3 linked regions of the Notamacropus eugenii genome follow. The protein of the gene in region 3 purifies or fractionates together with the protein of the main gene of each other region. This does not show direct contact. Links are inferred from orthologs where the notes say so. Each region holds a gene or a part of one and is shown on either strand. Other genes may lie near its edges.

Region 1 (7,365 bases), on a different chromosome or scaffold from region 3:
TACTCCTCGGTAAAAGAAGAAAATGTCAATTAGCCTAAAGTACCTTTATTTTTAAGAAAAGAAAATAAATGAAGCTCAAATCTGGTTGCGAAACATTTTGTTTCTTTTAAATAACAATGTAACCAGGTTGAATCTTCATTTATGTTCTCACAAAGGTGGGGGGGGGATACAAAATTAAAGTGAGCTTCCTCCCCTTCCCTCCAAAAAGGTCATCCCCATTTAAAGCCAAACGCGACTCAAATATATCCCTCCCATACCCCCCTTCAAAAAATAATCCACCAAATTCTTACAAATTTCTCTCTGTAACAAAGAACAGATCGCAACACCCAAAGCTCCTAGCAGATGGCTTCTATTCTTGGTTTTCAGGGGAGGGGAAGACCCCATATATTTATTTATTTATTTATATCTTTATTTATTTATTTAAATTTTTTAAAAATATAACATAAATATTCGCATTTCCACCGTCTCCAGACAGCCCTCGGCTGCTCGGCGCACAGCCCTCCCGAACACAGCCGGGGCGTTTTGGCCACAACCATAATAGGTTTATGGTGAATTGCGAGAAAACAACCTGCCTCGGATCCTGATTGCACCCAGAGGATGTTTTATTTCTATTGCAATAAAAAAAATTGCGCGCGGCTGAGAAGTGAAGCACGCGTTGCAGGCAGAGGGCTAGAGAGAAAGGGAGAAAGCTTGTGTGCGGCAGGAGGTGCAGCCAGACCTTTGGCCACCGGTGCCACTGAGAGCCTGGACTTCATCTTCCAGCGTCTGGGAGGCTTTCCTCCGTCTACCTTTGTGTACGTTTGTCTATTTTGTTCTCTATCTCTTCCTTTCTCTTTCTTTTTTGCAAGAGCGTTGGAAACTGCAGCTTACACATGGTGTTTCCAGACTTGGCTCTCCTAAAGTGAATCTATCCTCCCAGCAACTCGCTTTCTCAGTGTAGTTGACTGCAAATGAGGGCTATCTTTGCTTGTGTTGATTTAGACAGGGAAGAAGATGGATTCGATTGATAGATGATAGATGGATAGGTATCTACTTTTAGATGGATAGGTGCACCCCAATCTCTCCCATTCTTAGCTGACATACTTTTCCCAGTGGTAGGAATTTTTCAACAGCTCAAGTCTCCCCACCTTTTGGGGGGGAAGGGAGGGGGAAAAGAAAGCAGGATTATCCCAGGAGACACGGAGGTGGGGAAATGGGGTGGGGGGAGAAAGTAGGGGGGTGCTGAGGCTGGGCAAGCAGCTACCAAGTTCAGTTGTTTTGCTGGGGGTGGGGGGGGGTGGATTGGTCTGCAGCACCTGGAAAGCTGCACTGGCCTGCAGCCTGGGCTCCCCTCCCCTCTCCAGGCTCAGAGTCCCGAGGACCTGACTCTTTTCCCGCGGGCTGGCTGGCGGGCGCAGAGGGCTCCTCCCCGGCTGCCTGCCCGCCTGCCTGCCCGGATCCCCGGCAGCCGCCGCCGCCGCCGCTGCCGCCGCGCGCCGCGCCCCTCCCCCCCGCGCCATTACCTCAAGTCTCCCCCAACTCTCCCAAGAACCGGGCCCTGAGCGCAGCCCCGCAGCCACCCGCTTCCTCCCCCGGTCAGCCAAGCTCCAACTTTTCCCCCCACTTCCAGGCTCTGCGTATCCACCCTCCTAAAAAAAACCACACAGATTCCTCACCCAAACCCCTCCTCTCCCCCACTCTCGTCCCCTCCCCAGTCCTGCCGCCGCCACACACCGTGCACCGTGCAATCCACCCCAAGTGCCCCCTACACACACCTTCTCCCCTGCAAACCCCCCGACCCCCCGGCCCGGCCTTCCAGCCCGTTCCCGGGCTGCATCTTTCCCCAAAGCCGGCGGCGCGGTTGTCTCTCCCACGCTGCCGGCAGCACCCCGATGCAAAAGAAACTTTAAGCTTTCTCGCCTCCCCCCACCCCAGCCTTCCTTTCCCCAGCCTTTCAATCCCCCCTTCTCCCCTCCGATTTCCAATGACTAACATCAGCCTCGGCTGTCTCTCCCCCACCCCCTCCTCTTTTTCCCCAAGACTTTTTTTTAAAGACACCCCCCACACACACTCTCCCAATCCGTTTCCCTCTCCCCAACACCCCCGGAGCCCTAGGCTCCTAATTCTTCTAGTTTCAAATTGAGACTTACGTGTGATAATCTCCCTTTGTGACAAGTGTTGCGGGTTCCCCTGTTTGCGGCGGGACATTGCCTGGCATTTACACTGACATCGCCCGGAGAGCTGTACCGGTTGGGGGGAATGGAGAGGGGAGGGGGGTGGAGGTTAAAGCCGCTGCTGCTCCCCGCCTCTTTTTTTCCTTCTTTCTTTCTTGCCCCCTTTTTCTCCTCTTCTTCTTCTTCTTTATTTTGTTCTTCTAGTTTAAAAAACTTTCAAATTTAAATTTTAGAAAGAAAAAAAACTCTTGTTGTTGTCGTGCACTAGATGAAATCCCCCCAATATTTAGAAAAAAAAAATTTAAGAGGTAAAGAAAAAAAAATATCTGTCTCTCACTTCTCCAAACTGTTTGGCCACTTGGACTTCCAAATGTCTTCTTGAACTTAGAGGATTTTGCACCAACCCGTGACACTTTTCTCCAAAGTCTCTGGTAGGTGGAAAGCGCACTTCCACCAGGACGGAAAAAAGAATATGAAAAAGAATAAAATAAAATAAAACTTGGGACTTGTTTTCCCCCGCCCCTTGCCAAAAAAAAAGAAAAAAGAAAAAAAAGAAACATAAAAGTGCCCCCCAATTTTTTCTGACACTAACCCTTTTGGCTGGTTTTGGGGGGCAGCTCAGTAGTGTCTCCTTTCCAGTTCACCTGGAACGCTCGCCCTATGCCTTGGGTTCCCAGAGTCCCTGCACCACTTTGCACTGTTCTCCCTCGCCTGGCACAGGGGAAGGAAGGTAGGACGGTAGCCCAGTGCTGCTGGGTCGGTGCGAGCTATTACTATTATATATATATATATAAATATATATTGCAATGTGAAGATGGCGGAGTCCAGGTTCTCTGGGAGCTCTCTGTCTCTCTATGGCTGGGGCTGCCTCTGTACAATGGGATAAAATTCAAGTTCAAGTGCGGACGTGACGTTTAATCTGCACTAGAGACAAAAAGACCCAGAGAGTCGGAGCACTGGGGGCGACTAGTGGTGGCTTTTTAACATTGTACCCTGCAAGAGAACAAGAAAACACACACACACACACATACATACACACGAGCGCACATGCACACACACCAACCCAACCACATGTACAAATCGGGTTTTTGTGCGCTTCTGCTTTTCCATGGTACATGTTTGGGGGGACAGAGGGGAATTCGTAATTTTTTTTTTAAATGATGGTAATTATGACAAAATATTCTTCACCTGTCCACCACTCTTGCGGGCAATACCCTGGATTGATGGAAGGATATAGGAGATGGAAGATATACAAACCCCGACAGCTAGGGTCTTCTTTCCTAGTGGAAAACTCCTTCACTTTCACCCCCCAATAAGATATCATTTTGGATGTGGGGGAGAGCATATGAAGCAACTTGGAAATAGTTGGAGTTGTAATGAGACGGGTTGGGGAAGAGGTAGAAAGGGGGATGGCCAATTATTTAACCACCCCGCCAAAAAAATTCCAGTCAAGTAAGTTAGGTAGTGGGTTCTTTGAGGGTTGGTATAGAGTTATTTAGGGAGAGGAAAGATTGTTAAAACTCTTCTAGAAAATGATTCTTTTAGAACCTCAGTGCTGTATATAGGGCGGAGGGGTCGGTTGAGGTAGGGAGAGTTCTGGCCGAGATTGAAGTGCGGTCTTCCTTATTTTATGAGACTCCTGTTTTGGTAATCTGCCTTCCCCCTCCTCTTTCCCTTCCATCCCCCCACCCCCGGTCTGAGCGTAGTTTTCCCCGAAAGACACTCATCCTAGTTCCTTACTTGAAGTCAGTTCGTGTCAAACATTCCCTTCCCTCTCCCAATTACTCTGAAATCTGCATAGAGCGTTTGGGGGGGGGGGGGGGTTTGGGGGGCAAAGATAAGGGTTGTAATGTTGATCAGAGTTCGATGCCTCTGGCAGGGTGGCGGAGGCATCCTTTATCTATTCACTTTTGGCTCGTGAAGAAATTCAAGGCACAGAGGAGCTTGAACGTGGTCCCTTAACCATGACTCTCTGTGGAATCCCCTGCCAGAGAGGCACAAAATACCCTTAAGAAACTCGTTTCTCAGCAGTAGAATGTCTGACACTACCCATCTAAAGAAGAGGGGATATTTATACGGCCCTTAAAAGTCTTCCCTGTCTCCTTCTAGTTTAATTGGGAAGGATACAACTACCTTTTAGGCATCACTCCAAGGCCCAAACCCGGAAAAAGGCAGGGCTGCGAACCCCAGGCTAAAAGTGTATGTGTATGTGTCTGTATGTAGAATCCCTGGAACTCTACCCTCCACCTTCCTCATTTCAGCCTATTTTTCTCATCTCCCCTTCCCCATAGGTGGCTTTCAGGGCTACGGCGTAGGAAAGATAACTTTTGTTAAGCGGAGGATAAGCCACTTTGGGACCTCCCTTGGTCCCCAGGGAGGTTTAAAATGCAAGCCTTCTCTAAGACTCGCCTCTCACTCCTAGCCTTCCTTTTCCTACACTTCGTATTCCCAGCACTCCAGACAGTGACCTGGGAGGCCCAGGCCTCCGGGGCAGCGCTGCCCCCTTCTCCATTCCCCGCCCCTCTCTACTCTCAGGGACCAGCTCAGAAGCGAGTCTGCACAAACAGCTAAGAAGTAGTATGCATTTAGCACCTCTTAAGCAGTTTATTTTTCTCCCCTCCCCCTCATTCTTTATGGGCTGGGGGTGGTGGGGTGGTAGTTATTTGTTTGCTTTTAGGGTCCTATAAAGGAAATTAGCATCCTGGATAGTAACTGCTCGTAGCAATTTTGAGTGCGTCCAGAAATCCTACTCTACTTTAAAAAAAAAAAATTAGTCAACTCATAAAGTTATGCAAACAATCGAATGGGGGGGAGGGGGGAGATGTGAACTGCTCTCAAATGATAGCGCCGGAGGCAGAGTGAGGAGCGCAAGGGGGAACGGCTGGGGTGGGGGTGGGGTGGGCGCAGTTTTTGAATGAGTAGCATCTTCTGCTAGGAGGTGAGCCAGTAGAGCCGAACCGGGTGGTGAGATCATAAGGGCCAAACTGTAGGGCACAGGGTTGAGGCTTAGGTGGAGAGACAGCGCCCCCGGGGGACAGGGGCTTTTTTCCACCGTGGGAGGCGGGCGGGGGGGAGGGGCGGGGGGAGAGAGAGAGAGAGGGAGAGAGAGAGAGAGACAGGGAGGGAGAGAAAGAGAGAGAGAGAGAGAGAGAGAGAGAGAGAGAGAGATTTCTGCATAAATCTTTCCATGCCCTACCTCCATTTACCTGAAGTCTGAAAAGCTGCCGCCTCACCTAACGTCAAGATGATCGATGAGTCGGGGGTCACGGAAAGCTTTCTAGGAATGCCGCTTGTGTTCAAAGAAAATGACCCTTCGCTTACACCTCTCCAAAAAGTTCAGAGGCATACCTTAGACTGACTACCCTGAATCTATTTACCCTTTCTAGGAGTCTGAGAACACACGCACTTCAGTCTCCTTGTTTTTTGTTTATAACATATATACACACATATATATACATGTATGTATATACACATATATATATACATATATGCCCCTTTATACTAACACATATACACAAAATACGTATGTTTGTATACATATATATCATACATATGCTATATACATTCCTATATAATACACAGAGAAATTTGATGTCACCTAACTGTAGTTTTTTCAGGTGATATAAAATCGTTCCACAAGCTAAGCCAAGAAACTCAAGACCTGAGTAGGAAGAGAGAGGGAGAAGACAAACTGTGGGTTCTTCTGAGAGGGAAGGAAACACGAAAAAGGAGGCCAACGGGACATCAGAAAAGTGATCCACAGGGTGAGAAGAATTCACCTTTCTCTGGGGAGATAAAGCACTTTTCATAGCGATCCAGACCTCAGCAGGATTCCCTTAAGTTTGGGATGGAATTACGAAGGGGGGGGAGTAATTGGAATTCCTTCCTTATTTCTTCCCTGGATCCTCTTTCCATCTCTGCATGTCCAACCAGGAAGTCGCTGGCAGCTTCAGACAGTGACTGTCAGTGGGCATTTCACTCAGGAACCTGGGATAAATAAATGATAAACCCATGGGTGAGTTTCCTTATTACTTTCTCAAACCTGAACTAGGCGTGGGGAGCACACAGTGCCTATCCCGGCAGTGTGATGGTGCCTTCTCTGCTTCCACTGATAAGGTATCTGGCCTGTTTCATCAAAAAGGTGTGCCCTTTTATTTTTGCCCCTAAAAAATGAAAAGAGAGAGAGAAAGAGAGAGAGAGAGAGAGAGAGAGAGAGAGAGAGAGAGAGAGAGAGAGAGAGAGAGAGAGAGAGAGAGAGGAGAGGGAAGGAAAGAAAATATAGAGGAGAAAGAAAAAAAGAGAAGAGAAAAAGAAAGTAAATATAGAAAAAAGAGAGAGAGAAGAGGAGAGGGAGGGAGAGAGAGAGAGAGAAAGAGAGAGAGAGAGAGAGAGAGAGAGAGAGAGAGAGAGAGAGAGAGAGAGAGAGAGAGAGAGAGAGAGAGAGAGAGCCTAACTGCTGCTCCAGTCTCTTCTTTTTTTTCTCTCCCCCGTCTGGCACTTGTGATCATTAGCACTGAAAGCTGTTAATGTCTTGTCTCACAGCTCCCCCTTTAGTCTCCTTGCTCTCCTGTCTCGCGTTCAAAGCCAGATCAATAGCAGTCTCTTTTCCAACCTTGACCTATCCCTCGACCCCGCCTCCGTCTGCAGCTGGGCCCACTGTTCTGTTTTCTCACTCTGTCGATATCAAGTCACAATCGGTGACAGCAGACAAACAAGAAGAACTAGCCTCTCTCCCGGGGCGAGCTGAACTCGCCCCCCACCCCCACCTACCCCACCGCCTTTCCTTTTCTTCCACTCTTTCCCCCAGCACTGCCAGCTACAATGGCACTGGGACCAGAAATGTTTCTGTCCCACGAATTATTTTCATTCTTGTTCCAGGGATCTCCCTCACCCTGCCTTTGATCTATCAGTGGTTTGATTATAATAAAAGGTACTTCAAAAAAAGAACGTGAAAATTAACATGTTGTGGAAATTACAAGAAGTACAGGTTGCACGTGTATTCACTCTGGCTTTAGTGACTAAAGACAGTTTACTAGTCTGTTTGACAGATGGCACTCAGTCAAGGACTTTTCCTTTTAGAAAAATTAATTGATCCTGAAGAATGATGAAAACGGCTTAAAGTAAAGAAATACGGCTTTTCAATATTCTGTCTTAATTTTTTAAAAATCAGCAAGTGTCAAAAATTTCTTTAAAGTGGAAAAATAATTCCCTT
Region 2 (7,935 bases), on a different chromosome or scaffold from region 3:
GGGGGCCGGGCCCGGCCGGGGGCGGGGGGGCCGGGGCCCAGCGCATCTCCCCCGGCCCCACGTAACGCTGACGCCCGCGCCGCCGGCCCGCCGCCCGCCCGCCCGCTCCGCCGCCGCCCCGGGCTCGTGAGTAGCCTCTCCCCCCTTCCCGTTCTCCCTCCCCCCCATCCGCCATCCCGGCGCCCGCCCCAGGCCCCCTCCTCACCCCCCAGCCCCGAGGGGGGGGCGCTCCCCGCGCCCAGCTCGGAGCAGGTGCAGGGGGCGGGGGCGGGGGAGGGGCGCCGGCTCGGCCCCGAGCAAACTTCGCCCGGAGCTCCCGGAGCGGGGGCCGGCCGGGGAGGCCCGGGAAGCTGGGGGCCCCGAGAGAGGTGGGGTCCAGGTCGGGGCGGCGCGGGGAGCGGGGACCCCGGAGGAAGGGCCAGGCGAGGGGGAGCGAGCGTCTTTGTAGGGGCCCGGAGGGGCGGGGAGGGAAGAGGAGCGGAGAGCCGGGGGCGCGGGGCCGGCGAGGTTGGGGACCCGGGGGTTGGTGGGCGATCGGGGGCACAGGTAGGTAGGGCCTGGGGCTGGGGAGGGGGCGAGGATCCGACCTCTCGGCTCCGGGCTGTGGGGGTGGGAGGGAAGAGCTGGGGGTGGGGGAAGGACTGTTTCTCTCCGAGTCCCAAACAAAGTGTCACAAAGAGCTCGGCCCGCCGGCAGCCGAGGCAGCGGCTGAAGCTCCGCTTTTGTTCTCCCGAGATGGGCTAGTCGAGCCCCTCGCCGCTCCCTCCAGGACTCTGCCCCCAATCGTTTTGCCCACCTCTTCTCATCCGTCTCGGTTTGGGGCGGGGGTGGGGAGAACCTGATGAGAGCCCAGTCCAATTTGCCAATCCAAGTACTGGCAGGACAGCAAGGGGGCTCTTCCCCCCCGAAGGCTGTTCAGACTTCCATCCGGGGCAGGGGGCTCCCATCTAGTGGAGGGATTCCAACCAGGATATAGTCAGCTTTGGCTGTAGGAACCTAGGGGTTTCACCAGTCTCATCCCCTCGTCAATCAGGAGGCCTTGTGAAACCACCAGAATCGGGTCAGGATGGGGTCTGGGTGAAGGCCAAGACTCTGGGGCAGTTCCACTGATTGTGGCCTGAAATTGGTACATCTTACTCCCTCCTGTACTGTTTAGGTCCCAGAATGAAGGCCCACCCCAGAGCAGTGAATCTGGAAAGAGAGGACCTTTACTCTATGCTTAGGGATACTGAAGCTGAGTACCCCTATCATGAGGGGTGCCAAAGCCTTGGTTCATTGGGTCCCTTTAGCCACGCATGTTTAGATGGTCTTGAGGGGGAACCATGGCATCTGAACTGCTGGTGGACTGGGGTAGTCAGTAGGGCCCTGGGCTGATATTTCCTCACCCCACCCCCCTGCCTTATAAGCCCTATTGTGAGCAATTTAGCCTCAGCATTGCCTCTCAGGCAGATTTGGGGTCTGGATTCTACGGAGAGTTCAAGTTTATAATACAAGTTTGAAATATATATGTTACTGGACCCTAAAAGTACTAACTTAGAGTGCACTTTGATCCTAGGTCACTGGTTGGCAATCTAATACTGAAGGATGGCATGAGGGCCAATCTTGGTCATTGCCTCTCTCTACATGCCATCTCCCTGTATCTGCCCCTCTCTATCCATTAATAGTTGGAGGTCCCTGTCCTTCTAAATCTCCAATTCTCCCACTATACTACACTTGGGGGCCAGTAGTATGGCAAACAATTTAAGTTACTGATTCCTGTCTTAAGTCATATGACCTCTTTAGAATTATACCAGTGAAAAAACATTTATGGGTTGTCAGGGACAGAAAAGGTCTGTGTGTATATACGGGGAAAGGGGTGGAGAGTGGGAATGGAAAGTTGCTTTTCTAGATCAGCATTGTATCAGTCATGACCTTTGAGCCTTGAATTAGTCCAAACTTTATGGGAAATACACTTTGCTGTTATACCTAGGGGGTACATCCATGAGCTTTCTATGGGACTTCAGGCCCTGTTTCAAAGAATCTAGGACTGTTCTAATACAGTTTTAGATTGGGATAAATTCAGAGGACCACAGTATAGTGATAGCTCATGGTATCAAAGTGGACCTAGGTTGGCCTCTGTTCATTTCCAGGTCACTATTTTCTTAGGAGAATTTGATCTATTTAGGAAAATCCTTGGTGAATTCTAATTTTAGATTATTTAGGTGTTTATTTAGGGCCCTTTTATATGTCTAAGCACTCTTGAAATATTATTATACTTGGAGATCATATTTCCCCATCACCACCTTGAAGACTGCCTTCTGTGATAGTTTCTCCTTCCTAAAAGTGAATTTCTTCCAGGCCTTTTGAGCTCTGGTCCTGCTTTTCTTGCACCTTGACAAGAATTCCAGAATCTTTTCAGGGCCTAGGAGGCATGGGAGGGAAGTTCACAAAATGTCTGGTAGTTAATGGGTTCTGGACATTCAGGATCCCCACCCCTTATCATCTGGTTTCTCTAAATATACAAGATTGGTTCAATACCAGGATATTCTGGAATCCCCAAGAGAGCTCCAGAATGTGACAGCTTTAAGAAACAGATTCTTCAGTTACTGATACCAGGATGTACAAACTGTAATTGATGGAGACACTGCTCCTCATATCTAGTAAATTAATCCAGTTTCATTTATTTTCCATGACATTTAAAAATGTTTTCAGTGGCATTTAGAAGTACAAAAGACCCCTCTACTATCTCACTTTTTCTTTGGTGTATAGATGAGAGATTGCCCTCTTTCTGGTTCTCAGTGCCCTCTCTTGGTGTTGAGAGGACAAACATGGCCACTCTGATGTATACCATTTTCTTTTCTGTGGTGCTGAGGTGGCCAAAGGTACCCCTCTGGTAGTCCATTGTACTCTCCATGGTACTGAATCTTGCTTCACTTGTTCTGCTTCCTCTCCCAAACCCAAGAGGTACTAACTGTAACTCTCTTTAGGTTCTTTCAGGTTCTTGGTCCCAAGGAAAAAAAAGGGTTTTTTCCTGGTGGTTTCAAATTGGATTTGGGGAGAAATGTTAATGTTAGGAGTGAGACACATTTATCTGTGGGCTCAGTGACCCCACAGACTGGCATTCCTTTGTCCCACATTACACTAATAATAAAGCTCCCACAGCCTAAAGAGTCATAGATCCCAGATGGAGGCTCAGCACATTCCATATAGAATTTCTGGACATGCAAGGTCCTCCAGAGGTCATTAAATCTCTATCTCAATGCAAGAATGATCCTCCCCTTGCTCAGATAGTCCTACCTGTTATTAAAAGTCAAAGGGAGGAACATGGCTCAGCCTTCATTAGTGACACATTTCAGATTCACAGCCCTCACTATAGGGAAATTTTTTATAATGTGTCCTAGGTTAAGTACAGTTCTGGGTAAAGGCAGGAATATAGACTGGGTGATCTCAGGTTATCTCTTCTACCTGTTTGGGTAATTCTGTATTTTGGTGTGGTCAGTCAACATGATATAGCAGAGATAGATTTGGCCTAGGAATATAGACTTAGGCTCTAAATATTAATTTCATGATCTTAGGCAAATCCCTTCACCTCCCTGAAACTCATTTTCCTTATCTGTAAAATAAGGAGGTTGGGTTAGGTTCTTTAGGTTCCCTTGCAGCTTGGAGATTGTGTGTTCAGTCTCAGATCCCTAACACTGACCTCCTTTGTAGGCTAGAGTGCTGCCTGAGTTTTCCTTTCTGTGCAACGAGCTTCCCTGAACACTCCAGCAAGGATGACCAGGCCTTGAAGTCTTATCCTGGAAAACTTTAACCCTTTCCTTTCCAGACCATGTGCTGGGCCTCTTGTCTGTGCAGATGGCTCTAGCCCCGCCCCTCTGCCCCACACTCCAGGCTGTAGAGCTCAGAGCCTGTGTAATCCTCCTCTTGTGTGGGGGAACCTCTCCCCTGCAGAGATAAGGAAAGTCTGGCTTGGAGCAGCTCTGGACAAAGGGGTTGTGAGGTACCATCAGGTCTCAGTCTCCAGGGTGCTAAAAGCAAGGGAACGTTTTTTATCAGGATTTTCCACTTCTGATTTCTTTTCCCAGACCAGAAGAACCCCTTCGCTCTCATTCTTCCCCAACTGTTTTCCCATCCCCTTCTCTGTTTCTGTCTTTCCCCCCTCATGCCCCTCCCCCTCTGTCTGTCTCCAGACTTGCTGCTACTGCTGCTGGGAGGTGTTTCTCTCCCATGCATGAATGAGTCTCTGTAATGAATGGAAATGAATGGAGCAGGAATCCAGGCAGAGGGAGGGGGAATGAGGGGGAAAGGCAGAAAGACAGGGTTCAGGCAAAAGGAAGGGTAGACTTGGCCAGCTTGATAGGCAATGGCTAAACTGAGGGAAGCTTGACGGAGAGAGGGAAATGCCCAGCCCAACTTGGAAGATGTTGGGGAATCATGAGACCCCACTCCCTCCCCATCCATTGAATTGTTGCATGGGATAGACTCCAGAATAACTGGCGGAAGTCAGCAAGGGAGGGGTTGTGTTTGGAAATTCTCACTTACTGCTTGATGGGCTGGGGGATCAAGGGTTGCTTTCCCCTTCCCCCCGAAGTTGAGGGGAAAAGAAAGGACATCTACATTGAGTTTTGGAGGGGGAAGAGTCCCTTTTTTTCATTGTGGTGATCAAAGTTCACGTCTTCCACCTGGAAACCTGTGATCTCATATTGGGAATCTGGCTTTCTCTCTCTAGCCCCCTTGCCCCAGACGCTTCCACCAGAGGCTTCCCCTCCTCCCTCCAATCCCTGGCACCAAAGAATGTGAAGTGAGCCCATGGAGGTGAGTGATGCCGCCGCCCCCCCCAGGGCACCGACTGCCTGAGCCGGGAAGCAGAGTTGGGGGTTGGTTTGGGGGGGGGGGGTGGAAGGTATGCTACTCGGCTTCTCTAATTCCTGCCTCTCTCCTCTCCCCTTGGGGCTCTGCTGTCCCTTGATCCTCCCTTTTCCCGCCCCCACAGTTCTTATCTTCCGGTTCCCCACTTCCCTCTTCCTTGTATCCTCTCCTGACCCGACTCCTCCGCTCCTGTCTTGGCAGGGCTCACGTCCTCGCTCCCCGGGCGGCCCCCTTGCCCTGCCGGCCTTCGAAGGCGAGCTGGACCTGCAGCGCTACTCCAACGGGCCGGGCGTAAGCGGGGGGCCGGCGGGCATGGGAGCGGCGGGCTGGCCCGAGAGCCGCGGGAGCGGGCGGCGCTTCCCGTGCCCGGTGTGCGGGAAGCGCTTTCGCTTCAACTCCATCCTGGCGCTGCATCTGCGGGCCCACCCCGGGGCCCAGCCCTTCCAGTGCCCGCACTGCGGCCACCGCACGGCGCAGAGGGCCCTGCTGCGCCTGCACTTGCGCTCGCACCAGCCGGAGCGCCCGCGCAGCCCCGCCGCGCGCCTGCTGTTGGAGCTGGAGGAGCGCGCCCTGTTGCGGGAGGCCCGGCTGGGCGGCGCGCCCTCCCCGGAGCGCCCCGCGCAGGCCCCGGCCCCCGCCCCGGCCCCGACTCTACCTGCCTTCCGCTGCCCCTTCTGCAAAGGCAAGTTCCGCACGGCGGCGGAGCGTGAACGCCACCTGCACATCCTCCACCGGCCTTGGAAATGCCACCTGTGCAGCTTCGGCTCCAGCCAGGAGGAGGAGCTGCTGCGCCACAGCCTGACAGCGCACGGCGCCCCCGAGCGCCCCCTGGCAGCCGCCTCGGCGGGGCCCGCGCCCCTGCCCCTGCCCCTGCCCCTGCCCCTGCCCCTGCCCCAGCCGGAGTCCGAGGCGGCCCCGGAGCTCGAACCCGAGCCGGAGCCGGAGCCCGAGCCCGCGCCAGCCCCGGCCACCGCCCCCGAGGAGCCTCCGGCGCCCCCCGAGTTTCGTTGTCAAGTCTGCGGCCAGAGTTTCACCCAGTCCTGGTTCCTCAAGGGCCACATGCGCAAGCACAAGGCCTCCTTCGACCACGCGTGCCCCGTCTGCGGCCGCTGCTTCAAAGAGCCCTGGTTCCTCAAAAACCACATGAAGGTGCACGCCAGCAAGCTGGGGGCCCTGCGTGCGCCCGGGCCCGGCTCGGGCCCTCCCCGGGCTCCTCCCCCTCCTGACCTAGGCTTGCTGGCTTACGAGCCCCTGGGCCCCGCGCTACTGTTGGCCCCGGCGCCTCCCCAGGGGGATCGAGGCGAGCCCCCGGGTTTGCTGGGCTACCTGAGCTTGCGCGCAGGGAAAGCCAGGCCCAACGGGGAGGGCACCGAGCCTGGGGCTGGCCGGGGCTTCGGGGGCTTCCGCCCGCTCCCGGCTCGGGAGCGTCGTCCCCGCCTGGAGGAGCAAGATGAAGACGACGAGGAGGTGGTGGTGGAAGCGGAGGAGGACAGCTGGACTCGGAGCAGGGCCCTGGGAGCGCTGGCTTCACTTCCTAGACGGCCAGGGGAGGGCGCGGGTCATCCTGCCCCTCCCGCGGGGGGCCAGTCCCGGCCTGCAGCCTCCCAGGGTATGTGTCTGTAATGAGGAGCGAGTGCGACACCTCCTTCCCCGGCAGCGGTGCTTCCTTCTCCTTTCCCTTTCTGCATTTCAGATCTTCCATTGTCCCGACCTCTAGTTCCCACCTGCCCATTTATCTTCCTGGAGGCAGCATTGATTCCCCTCTGTCTGCCCCCTGTTCCCTACCGTTCGCTTTCCACTCGGGTCTTGTAGAGTACCCGTTTGCAGTTTGGAGAGACAGTAGGGGGAGACGCAGCTGGGATCTTAGCCTCTTAACTGGATTCCTTAACATGTGTTGCAGAAGAGAACGGGCTGTTAGTAGGGGGTGCGCGGCCCGAAGGGGGCCGGGGAGCCTCGGGCAAGGACTGCCCCTTCTGTGGGAAATCCTTCCGTTCTGCACACCACCTCAAAGTGCATCTGCGGGTGCATACAGGTGAGATGGGGGGAAGGTATCTCAGAGGCCTGCGAGGGGTTGGAGAAGGAAGAGAGAAGCGTGTGGGTTTGGGAGGATGAGGGGCATTTCTTGCCCAGACCTGCAGATGGGTGTGGCAGACGTTTTATGGGGGATTCACGGATTATGGGGGGAACTTCACTAGTGGGTGGGAGTCACGAGTTTGAGGGCAGTCCTGAATCTTTAGAGGAGGGGACTACCCTGCACATTTTCTGCTCTGCAAGTCCATGAAAGGGGAAGGGAGTTGAGGGAAGGATAAGGGACTCCATTGGGCACCTCCCTCTCCCCTACTGAGTTCTCTGCCCTCTGCAGGTGAGCGCCCCTACAAGTGTCCACACTGTGATTACGCTGGTACCCAGTCGGGCTCCCTCAAATATCACCTGCAGCGTCACCATCGAGAGCAGAGGAGCGGAGCTGGACCGGGGCCACCCCCGGAACCTCCGCCCCCACCTCAGCGGGGCTCAGCTCCATCCCAAGGGGCCAAACCCAATCCTGCGCCCCCAACCTGGGCAGAGGGCGCCATGGGCTCCCGCCTCCCTTCCAGCGCCACTGCCCCCTCCCGTCGTAAACCTGTGAGCCCTGGGAGGACCCTGCGCAACGGGCGAGGGGGCGAAGCCGAGCCTCTGGACCTGTCCCTGCGGGCGGGGACCGGAGGTGAGGCCGGGGCTGGGGGCTCCCTGCACCGCTGCCTCTTCTGCCCCTTTGCCACCGGAGCTCCGGAGCTCATGGCTTTGCATCTGCAAGTGCATCACAGCCGTCGGGCACGGGGTCGCAGGCCCCCCCAGTCCGCTCCCTCCCCTCCCTCCTCCGCTTGCGTCCTGTCCGGGGAGTTGACTCCCAGCCCTCCGCAGGATGGGGATGGGAGCCCCGGGCTGTCCCGACCGGGAGAGGCGGCAGGGGCTGGGGTGGGAGGGCAGGAGCGGTAGGGAGCCCATTTAGGGGCAGGTAGCATAGACAGAGCGCTCGCCTTGAGGGAGCGGGAAATCACTAGAGGTAGTTGGGTAGGGCAGCCAGCAGGGGGCAGCTCGGAACCCACA
Region 3 (7,805 bases):
TCAGAATAAAAAATATGTAATTGTTATGTTATAGAAAGATATGGATACACACACATCTATGCATATGTAGATGTAGATAACTACATATGACCCCTTTCTTTTTTTTACTTCCTTGGAAGGTATGTGCCCATTGGTGGAATTGCTAGGTACAACTATATGGACAGTTCGGTAACTTTTTTTTTTAATTATAAATTATTTTCCAAATGGCTGGATAAATTCACAGCCCCCTCAGAAGTATATTCATGTGTCTGACTTCCTGAAGCCTCTCCAGCATTGGCTATTTGCATCTTTTATCATCTTCGGTCATTTGAAAGGAGGTGAAGCCTCAGTTTTAATTTCAACATTTTTGTTATTGTTCATCTTTAGGACCAATTTTTGTATCATCATCATTAAGTATTTCACTGATTCTCTAGATGATTTTCCTATCTTTGATTTAAGTTAGCTTTTATTATTAGCACTGTAATCCCATAGAAGATAATTGTCCAATTTCTAGTTTCTACTCATTCCACTATACTTGTGGGCTTCCCTTTTCTCTTCAGTTGAGCTATTTTCCCATTTTTGATAGAGATTAACTTCCCCCCTTATAGCCTTTAATTAGTTATGTATATTTGGGGAGGCACAATGACAAACATATACAGGCAAGAGATACTGACAGAGAAATTGGCAGTCAGGTAAGAAGTGGGCCCGTGCACAGACAGAACAGAGGGACAGATAATAGAAATACTATCTCTAGGCACCTACATGGAAAGAGAGGAGAAAACTGTGGAAAGATTGATCTGGAAAACAGAGAAGTACAGACTATAAGAAACCAAATAGAATGGCTGTCAGCGGCAAGCAAACACCGAGAAAGTAAGACAGACAGATGGACTGACATAAAAGACAGGCAAAGTGACAATCAGCCACACAGAAAGACTATAAGGGAAAAGCATAATGGAAATGAGAGTTGCAGGAAAACTAAACAAGACAGGCAGTAAGATGGGCAGGCAGAGACAAACAACAGAGGTAGCAGGTAAGCAGAGAGATTTAAAGACTGAGAGACAGAGGCAGGCAGTCAGAAGCAGAGGCAAACCAAAAGGCAAATGAGTAAATAGACTAAACAGAAGAAAGCAGAGAGAAAGAGAGGCAGGTGAGCAGACAGGTGGGCAGAGAAAGTGACAGACAGAGTCAAGGACATCAGAAATGATACACCAAAGGAAAGGCAGACAGACAGATGGAGAAGGCAGATGCAAAGAGGCAGCAGGAAGAGGGCAAGCAGATGGGGGTGGGTAGAGGGATAGGCAGAGGACTGAAACAGAAATAGGGGACATGGAGTGGATGAGGGAGACAGGCAGGGGCTGAGGATACTGACAGGAAAGGTAGGAAGAAAGGAAAGACAGACACTCAGACAGGCTAAAGAGAAGCAGATAAATGGAAAAAGCAGATAAAACGGGGAGGAAGAAGCAGGCAGATGCTAAGAGAACACACAGACCAAAAGGCAAGCCTGAAAGGTACAGAGGACCTTTCAGAAAAGTAAAGCAAAGGAGAGGAAAATAGACAAGCAGAGAGAGATGTTTGCTGACTAAAAAAAAAATCTAATGGGGAAGGCTGGTAAAAAAAAGAAGACTGAGAATTACAAGAAATAGGTAGTCAGACAGATTAAGAGATGCAGGCAAGCAGACAGTAGCTAAATGAGGGCAGGGAACAGACAGTGGGATGCTAGCAGGCAGGTGGGGTGACAGAATGAGAGAGAGAGGCTGACAGACAATAGACACAGACAGACACAGATTGACAATAAGAGTTTATCAAGCAGAAAGACACAGAAGCAAGTAGATAGGCAAGGCAGAAAAGAGACCAAGAGATGCAGGCCAGGAGGCAGACAAGACAGCCAGAGAGAGGAAGGCAGACATGATAATAGCAGCAAACAGGAAAGAAAGTAGGCACGCAAATAGAATAGAAAGGCAAAAATCAAAAAGACCAGGAAGCAGGCCTGTTGGTGGAAGGGAAGAAACAAGTAAAAGAACAGAGAAGGAAGCCTAACTCACAGACATATACTCACAGAAGTGCTCCCACAGAAACACCCTGAGACACATACTCTTAAGCACCCATATCCAGAGATCCTGACATTTAACCCCAGACGCACAGGCACAAGTAAACATACATGAACATACTTAAAACCAGATGCACACATGCAAAGGCAAAGGAGACAGAATATAGTATACACACATGCTCTTATGCACACTATGACCCATAAGCACATAAAGACTGATATACACAGCCAGAACAAAATGATAAACAGATAGTGAGTCCAAGAATCACTGAAAGATGACAGTTGAAGAGTTACTGAGACAAGAGACAGCATGAGAGACAGCCCATGAATGAAACAGAAACAAAGGGACAAGCCCACACAGAGAGACAAAAAATGAGGGAAACTCCTTACACAGAGAAAAAAGTAAGAAACATATATTTTACACAGATATACAAAACTAAACAGAAACAGAGAGCTTGAGACGTAGAAATAAAACCAAGAGGCCAGGATGGAGAGTTGGGCTGAGGCTAGCAGAGAAGGAGACAAAAGATATTGAAACCCAGATTAAGAAAAAAAGGGAAACTGAGGCCCATAAAGTGAAGGACAGAGCCCTAAAATGACAAATTCTTGGCCCTCAAGAAAAATTATGCAAAAGTTCATCCTAGTACCTGTGGGAACATTTTTTTATGTGCATCTAAAGAGAAGTTGCAGTTGTCTGAGCTGGAAGGTTATGTCTATAGTATGAAGTAAGAGACTCATGATTCTAGGCATGTTTCAGGAAAAGATGCAGAAAACAGAACCGATAAGGAAGGGGCAAAATGAGGTCTGTGGGAAAGAAGAGAATCACGACTGGAAAGGGGTGACAAGCTCAGAGCTGAAGTAATCACTAGTCCCATCCCTTTCTCTACACCCCCATAATGGCAGTACCTCTGTCAGCAAACCTTTTAGGGGAAGTACTTCTCTTCTTTATTGATATCCCAGGTACAGAGATACTTGGTGCTTCCTCCTACCTGAGTGCAGGGCTCCCTTCCTACCCCAACTGACAAGCTCTCTTGAAATTTAACTTAGCTTCCTTGTTTGATTCACTTAGGTAGCCCCTAAAAGAGAGGTTTCTCCTGACCCCTTTCCAATTTCCCCCATCAGTATCTCATTCCTATTTTAAGAGGCCGTTTAGGTTGAAGAACTGGATGAGACAATCAGATACAAAGGTCTGATTGCATCCTCTTCTCTTTCATTTTTTCTTCACCTTAGCTAATTTCCTCTCACCTACTGTACTTCAATTTCTTCCACTTTGATGGAACTGAAAATGGGGGTGAATGAAAGAAAAAGGAGTCTGTATTGGAGAGGAGCAAATAAATTTTTTTTCTTTTTCAGATCTTGGTGCTCCCCATCCACAGCAAAATCCATTCTCTGTACCAAGATTTCATAGTAAGTTTATCTGGGAGAAAAGGAAAATGAAATGAAAATATAATTTAAAACAATTGTAAATTACTGAAATGATTTCAATAAAGAATAATCAAACATAAAACTCAGATTGAATGAAAAAACTCAGATTGCTTTCCATTCTCCACCCCCAAAGGGTTTCTATCATTAAAAAAGAAAAAAAAATCTTATAAAATACGTAAAGTTAAATGCATTTCAACTTTAACAAGGTATATGTATACGTATATATATGTATTTGGCCAGATTTATATATAAATATATGTATTTCATCTTTTTCCTTGACAATGCCTGAAGGGAGAAAAAAAAAACCCTTCACATCAAACCACTCCCTTTCTGAAGTACTTAAGGAAAAAAAGCTTTTCTTTTGAGGAGGGAGGTGGAGAGAGAAGAGACTAGTATAGAAAAGAAAATTTTAAAATCTAGTTGGACTAGTATCTAACTAGTTAACCTTTAACAATTTATGCTGATGTCAGACTGAGCATGAGTACTGATTAATGCCCCCCCAAATATTTTTATAGGTGTGTGTTGGGGGGGGAGGTTAGTCAGCAGCCATTTTTGTTTTATGCAGAAATCCTTCATGTTTCTTCCCCCCCTTCAATACACAAGGAAAATATCTATTAATCTGTTTACTAATCAGCTATGAAAAAAGGGAGACTTTTGTGGGTTTCTGGGTAGAGAAGGTTTTAGAGATGAGAAGGGGGGAACTGGAAGCATTTCTGTTGGTGGGGGTGTTAGGGGATGGGGGCTGAAAAATGAAATATTAAGCCAGCCATTTTGTTTTAAAAGCAGATTTTTTTTTTCCTCTCTCTTTCTTCTTGGAGGGGGTGGCGGTGCTGGAGGGGGGGTTGTTTTAAAAATAATTTCAGGGCGGCCATCTTAGTGCTTCAGCTCTAGGAAATATTTCTCAGCGCCCCCCTCAGAATTTCAATATATTTAAAACAACGAAGAGGGGAGTAAGGGGGGGAAGAGCAGAAAAACTTTTATTCATATAATATATATATTTACCCCCCTTTCTCTCTCTTTTGGTCTCCCAGGGAAGGGGAGGAGAAAGTCCCCCCCCTTTAATTTTTCTCAATAGTAAATTGTTTTTGGGAGGCGGTTTCGCCCCCTCCTTAGACAGAAGGGTGGGGGTAGGGGGTGGCCCGGGGGTTTGGGGGGCTGGGGGAGGAGGTGAGTTGGAGGAGGAGGACGACGACGACGAGGAGGAGGAGGAGGAGGAGGAGGAGGAGGAGGAGGAGGTGGTGGTGGTGGTGGTGGTGGTGGTGGTAGTGGTGGGGGAGGCAGGCGGGCGGTGGGTGGGGGGGTGGTGGGGGGGCCAGAGCTACAGGATGGCTTCCCCTCTGAGGGACGAGGAGGAGGAGGAGGAGGAGATGGTAGTGTCTGAGGAGGAAGAAGAGGAGGAGGAAGAAGAGGGCGAAGAGGAGGTGGAGGCGGCGGATGAGGACGACGAAGAGGAGGACGACGAGGGAGTAGTCGGACGCGGGCCGCCGGGGCACGAGCGGGGCCGCGGCCGCCACAGTCCCCCCAGCTGCCACCTCTTCCCGCCGCCGCCCCCGCCCCCGCCGCCCCCGCCGCCCCCGCCCCCACCGCCAGGTAAAGACGCGAGCGGAGGACACCCGCCGAACTCCCCCCCCTACTCCTGATCGCCGCCAGCCCAAAGTTCCGAAACCGTTGGGCGCGAGAGGGGGCTGGGGGGGTGTCGGGCAGGCGCGCGCGGAGGAGCAGGGGGTGGGGGTGGAGAGGAGGGCAGGGGAGGGAGCGCGAAAGGCACCCACCGCGCGGACGGAGAGGAGTCGAGTCCGGGGGCGCGCGGACGACGGAGCAGCCGGCCCGCCTGCTTGGCTGCCCCCCCACTCCCTCCCTCCCCGCCCGCCCGGGCCTGAGGCCGGGAAGCTTTCCGGGCCGGTGGGCCGACCTGCTGGCCGAGCGGGCCTCGCCTCCCCTCCCCCCGGCCAGCCCCCTCCCCCCGCTCTGGGGGGAGCCTCCGGCCGCGGCCGCGGCGGAACGCCGGGCGCCAGCTGAGCGGGCGCGCGGACGGAGGAGCCAACTCTTGGTCGCAGCCGGAGGGGGAGGGGAGGGCTGGTGGTGTGTGTAGGTTTGTTTCCCCCTCTTTTCTTCCTCCCTTCCTTTCTCTTCTTCGGGGGATTAGGAGCGATCGAACCCGAGACGACCCCCCCCACTCCCGCCGCGCATTCGGGCCCCGCTTGAGCTCCAGACGTCCCCCCCCTCGGCTGGCGGGGGAGGGGGAGGCGGCGGCGGAGAGTGGCGACGGTGGCTGTGGTTCGGAGAGTTCAAGCCCGTTTGGGGTTTGGCTAAATGTAAAATTAGATGGTGTCCGTATGCGTTTGTGGGGGTCGGCGTGGGGCTTGGAACGGGGGAGGGGTCCCCCCGACCACCCGAGCGCTTGTGTCCGTGAGGGCGCAGGGTGGCGGGGGGACTTTGGACACTCGCCACTGACTGGCCCGTACAGCCCCTCTCCCAAGATCTTGGAAGTGGGGGTGGGCTGGGTGCCTTGAGGGGAAACCAGATACACCCACCGACAACTCCACCTCTTTTGATTCCTTCCCTTTCCCTCCTCCTTGTGATGGTAGGCCCCTCTCTAGCTAAAGGGTGTGTATTCACCCCGGGACTCCCCCCTTCTACTCTGTGAGCCATTGACCCTCTTTTGTCCTTGAGTGACCCCACTGCTGTGGTCCTGGGGCCCCAGGGGTTGTGACTTCCCTGCTTGCCCCCATCACAGTCACCTCTGTGAGAGGATGACTGAGGGATGTGGAACACCTCACCTCCTGTGGTGTTTGTTACTAGAAGTCCCTCACTCCCCTCCCCAGTTTTCTCACACGGGCAGCTTTAGTAACTGTAGCCACTGCTTCGAGGTAACAGTTGCCTCATCAGAGACTCAGTAGCCACCCCATCTCAGACAGCCTTGTGTGGCTAGTTCCAGAACGTAATGTCAGCTTTACATGTAGAAAATGACAGATGGGACACTTTGATCCCTGTGCCTGGGAGCAGACTTCAGTAGCCTTATAGATTTAAAGTTGGAATGGAACTTAGAGGTTATGGAGTCCAGTCCCTTCATTTTAAATACGAGGAAACTGAGTCAAAGAGAGGCTAAATGACTTGACCAAAGTCACACGAGTTGCAAAGAGGTCTAGCTGGGATTCTGACTCGAAATCAAGTCCTCTTAACTACACCATGCTGCCTTACTTGTGTTTGTTTTCCAGCCCCTATTGATGAAATATGCCCAATGTTCTTAATACTGAAATACAGATTAGCGCCATGTATGGCAGATGTGCCTGTATATACTTCAGCTGAACAACAAAAGACGTGTGGGGGTGGGGGGGAGACGAATAGGAAGGAAGAGGGTCCAAAAGGGAGAGAGGAAAGGAGTGTCTTAGTGAACATGAAATAATTCATTATTTTCCCCCAAGGTCTTCGAAATAGGAAATAAGTAGAAAAAATTACCTTGTGGGGAACACGTTTTTTTAAAGTGCAAATGGGAGAATTTGGGAGACAGGTGTCAAATTCAATTAAACATTTATTCAGCACCTACAGTATATTTGCAAAGTGAGAAAGGAAAGAAAGGAGGAAAGATGGGATTAGGGGATGGATTCTTTCCTTGTCTGCTGAGTTCTCAGGTTAGATAATCCTCTTTGGTCATTTTCAAAACTAGGCTAATAAAAGAGGGGAGAGCTGGGAAAGAAAGCAAGAAAGAAACCGTCAGAGGTTGAGGTGTGTCTTTGTTTGGCTCCCTTTGCTCCCTTCTTCTGAAGCCTATTTACCTAATAAATAAGCAGATGTTTGAAGATAATAAATTGTTTCATTTTGGATTTGGAATTAAAAATAAACATTATTCCCTTCTATTTAAGGCAGTTTTGCCTCTGCCTAACCCTTCAGATTTGCGTGAGTGAAACATCCTTGTTGGGTAATTTATTGATGTAAAAAAAACTTTTGGGGAAATATATTTTAGCTCCCCTTCCTTTTTTGTCACCCCAGGTATGAGGAAGGCAAACACCAATCCTAAGAAGTTTGACCCATGTACTTAACTCTCTCCTTCTGGCCCAAACTCCCAAGTGGAATATGAATTTGTAGATTCTGTAGCTCTGTATTGTTTTTCAACCCTGACTGATTTTCCCTCATCCCCATTTTGTTTCACATTCTTAACTGAGTCCAACTTTACCTCTTTCTCCTCCCACCAACCTCTGTACATTGTTCAGTATTTCAAATCCAAAGACTCCTGTGGGGGGAGGGGAAAGAAGGGAGCCAAAACTCAATTTCTTTCCCCTCCCCCTTCTGGCAAGTATAAAGAAATAATATAATATTTAGATGTGATTGCTTAGGGAGGGGAGGGGGGTAGAAT

What was found.
Region 1: the proteins of CHD3 (region 3) and BCL11B purify together in Homo sapiens (affinity purification with mass spectrometry; 3 studies listed by BioGRID and IntAct, with this or other methods). This does not show direct contact. The link is inferred for Notamacropus eugenii from reciprocal best matches to the Homo sapiens genes CHD3 and BCL11B.
Region 2: the proteins of CHD3 (region 3) and ZNF219 purify together in Homo sapiens (affinity purification with mass spectrometry; 3 studies listed by BioGRID and IntAct, counting the BioPlex papers as one, with this or other methods). This does not show direct contact. The link is inferred for Notamacropus eugenii from reciprocal best matches to the Homo sapiens genes CHD3 and ZNF219.

The regions. Positions count from the first base shown.
Region 1 is NC_092872.1:356,898,409-356,905,773, reverse strand, and holds the start of BCL11B (B-cell lymphoma/leukemia 11B), read right to left. Parts: upstream 3,002-7,365; 5' UTR 2,188-3,001; coding exon 2,130-2,187; intron 1-2,129. UniProt on the Homo sapiens protein: Key regulator of both differentiation and survival of T-lymphocytes during thymocyte development in mammals.
Region 2 is NC_092878.1:12,818,603-12,826,537, forward strand, and holds the start of ZNF219 (zinc finger protein 219), read left to right. Parts: upstream 1-4,849; 5' UTR 4,850-4,884; coding exon 4,885-6,457; intron 6,458-6,748; coding exon 6,749-6,880; intron 6,881-7,210; coding exon 7,211-7,824; 3' UTR 7,825-7,935. UniProt on the Homo sapiens protein: Transcriptional regulator. Recognizes and binds 2 copies of the core DNA sequence motif 5'-GGGGG-3'. Binds to the HMGN1 promoter and may repress HMGN1 expression. Regulates SNCA expression in primary cortical neurons.
Region 3 is NC_092873.1:78,011,571-78,019,375, reverse strand, and holds the start of CHD3 (chromodomain-helicase-DNA-binding protein 3), read left to right. Parts: upstream 1-4,735; 5' UTR 4,736-4,776; coding exon 4,777-5,041; intron 5,042-6,040; exon of another isoform or gene 6,041-7,805.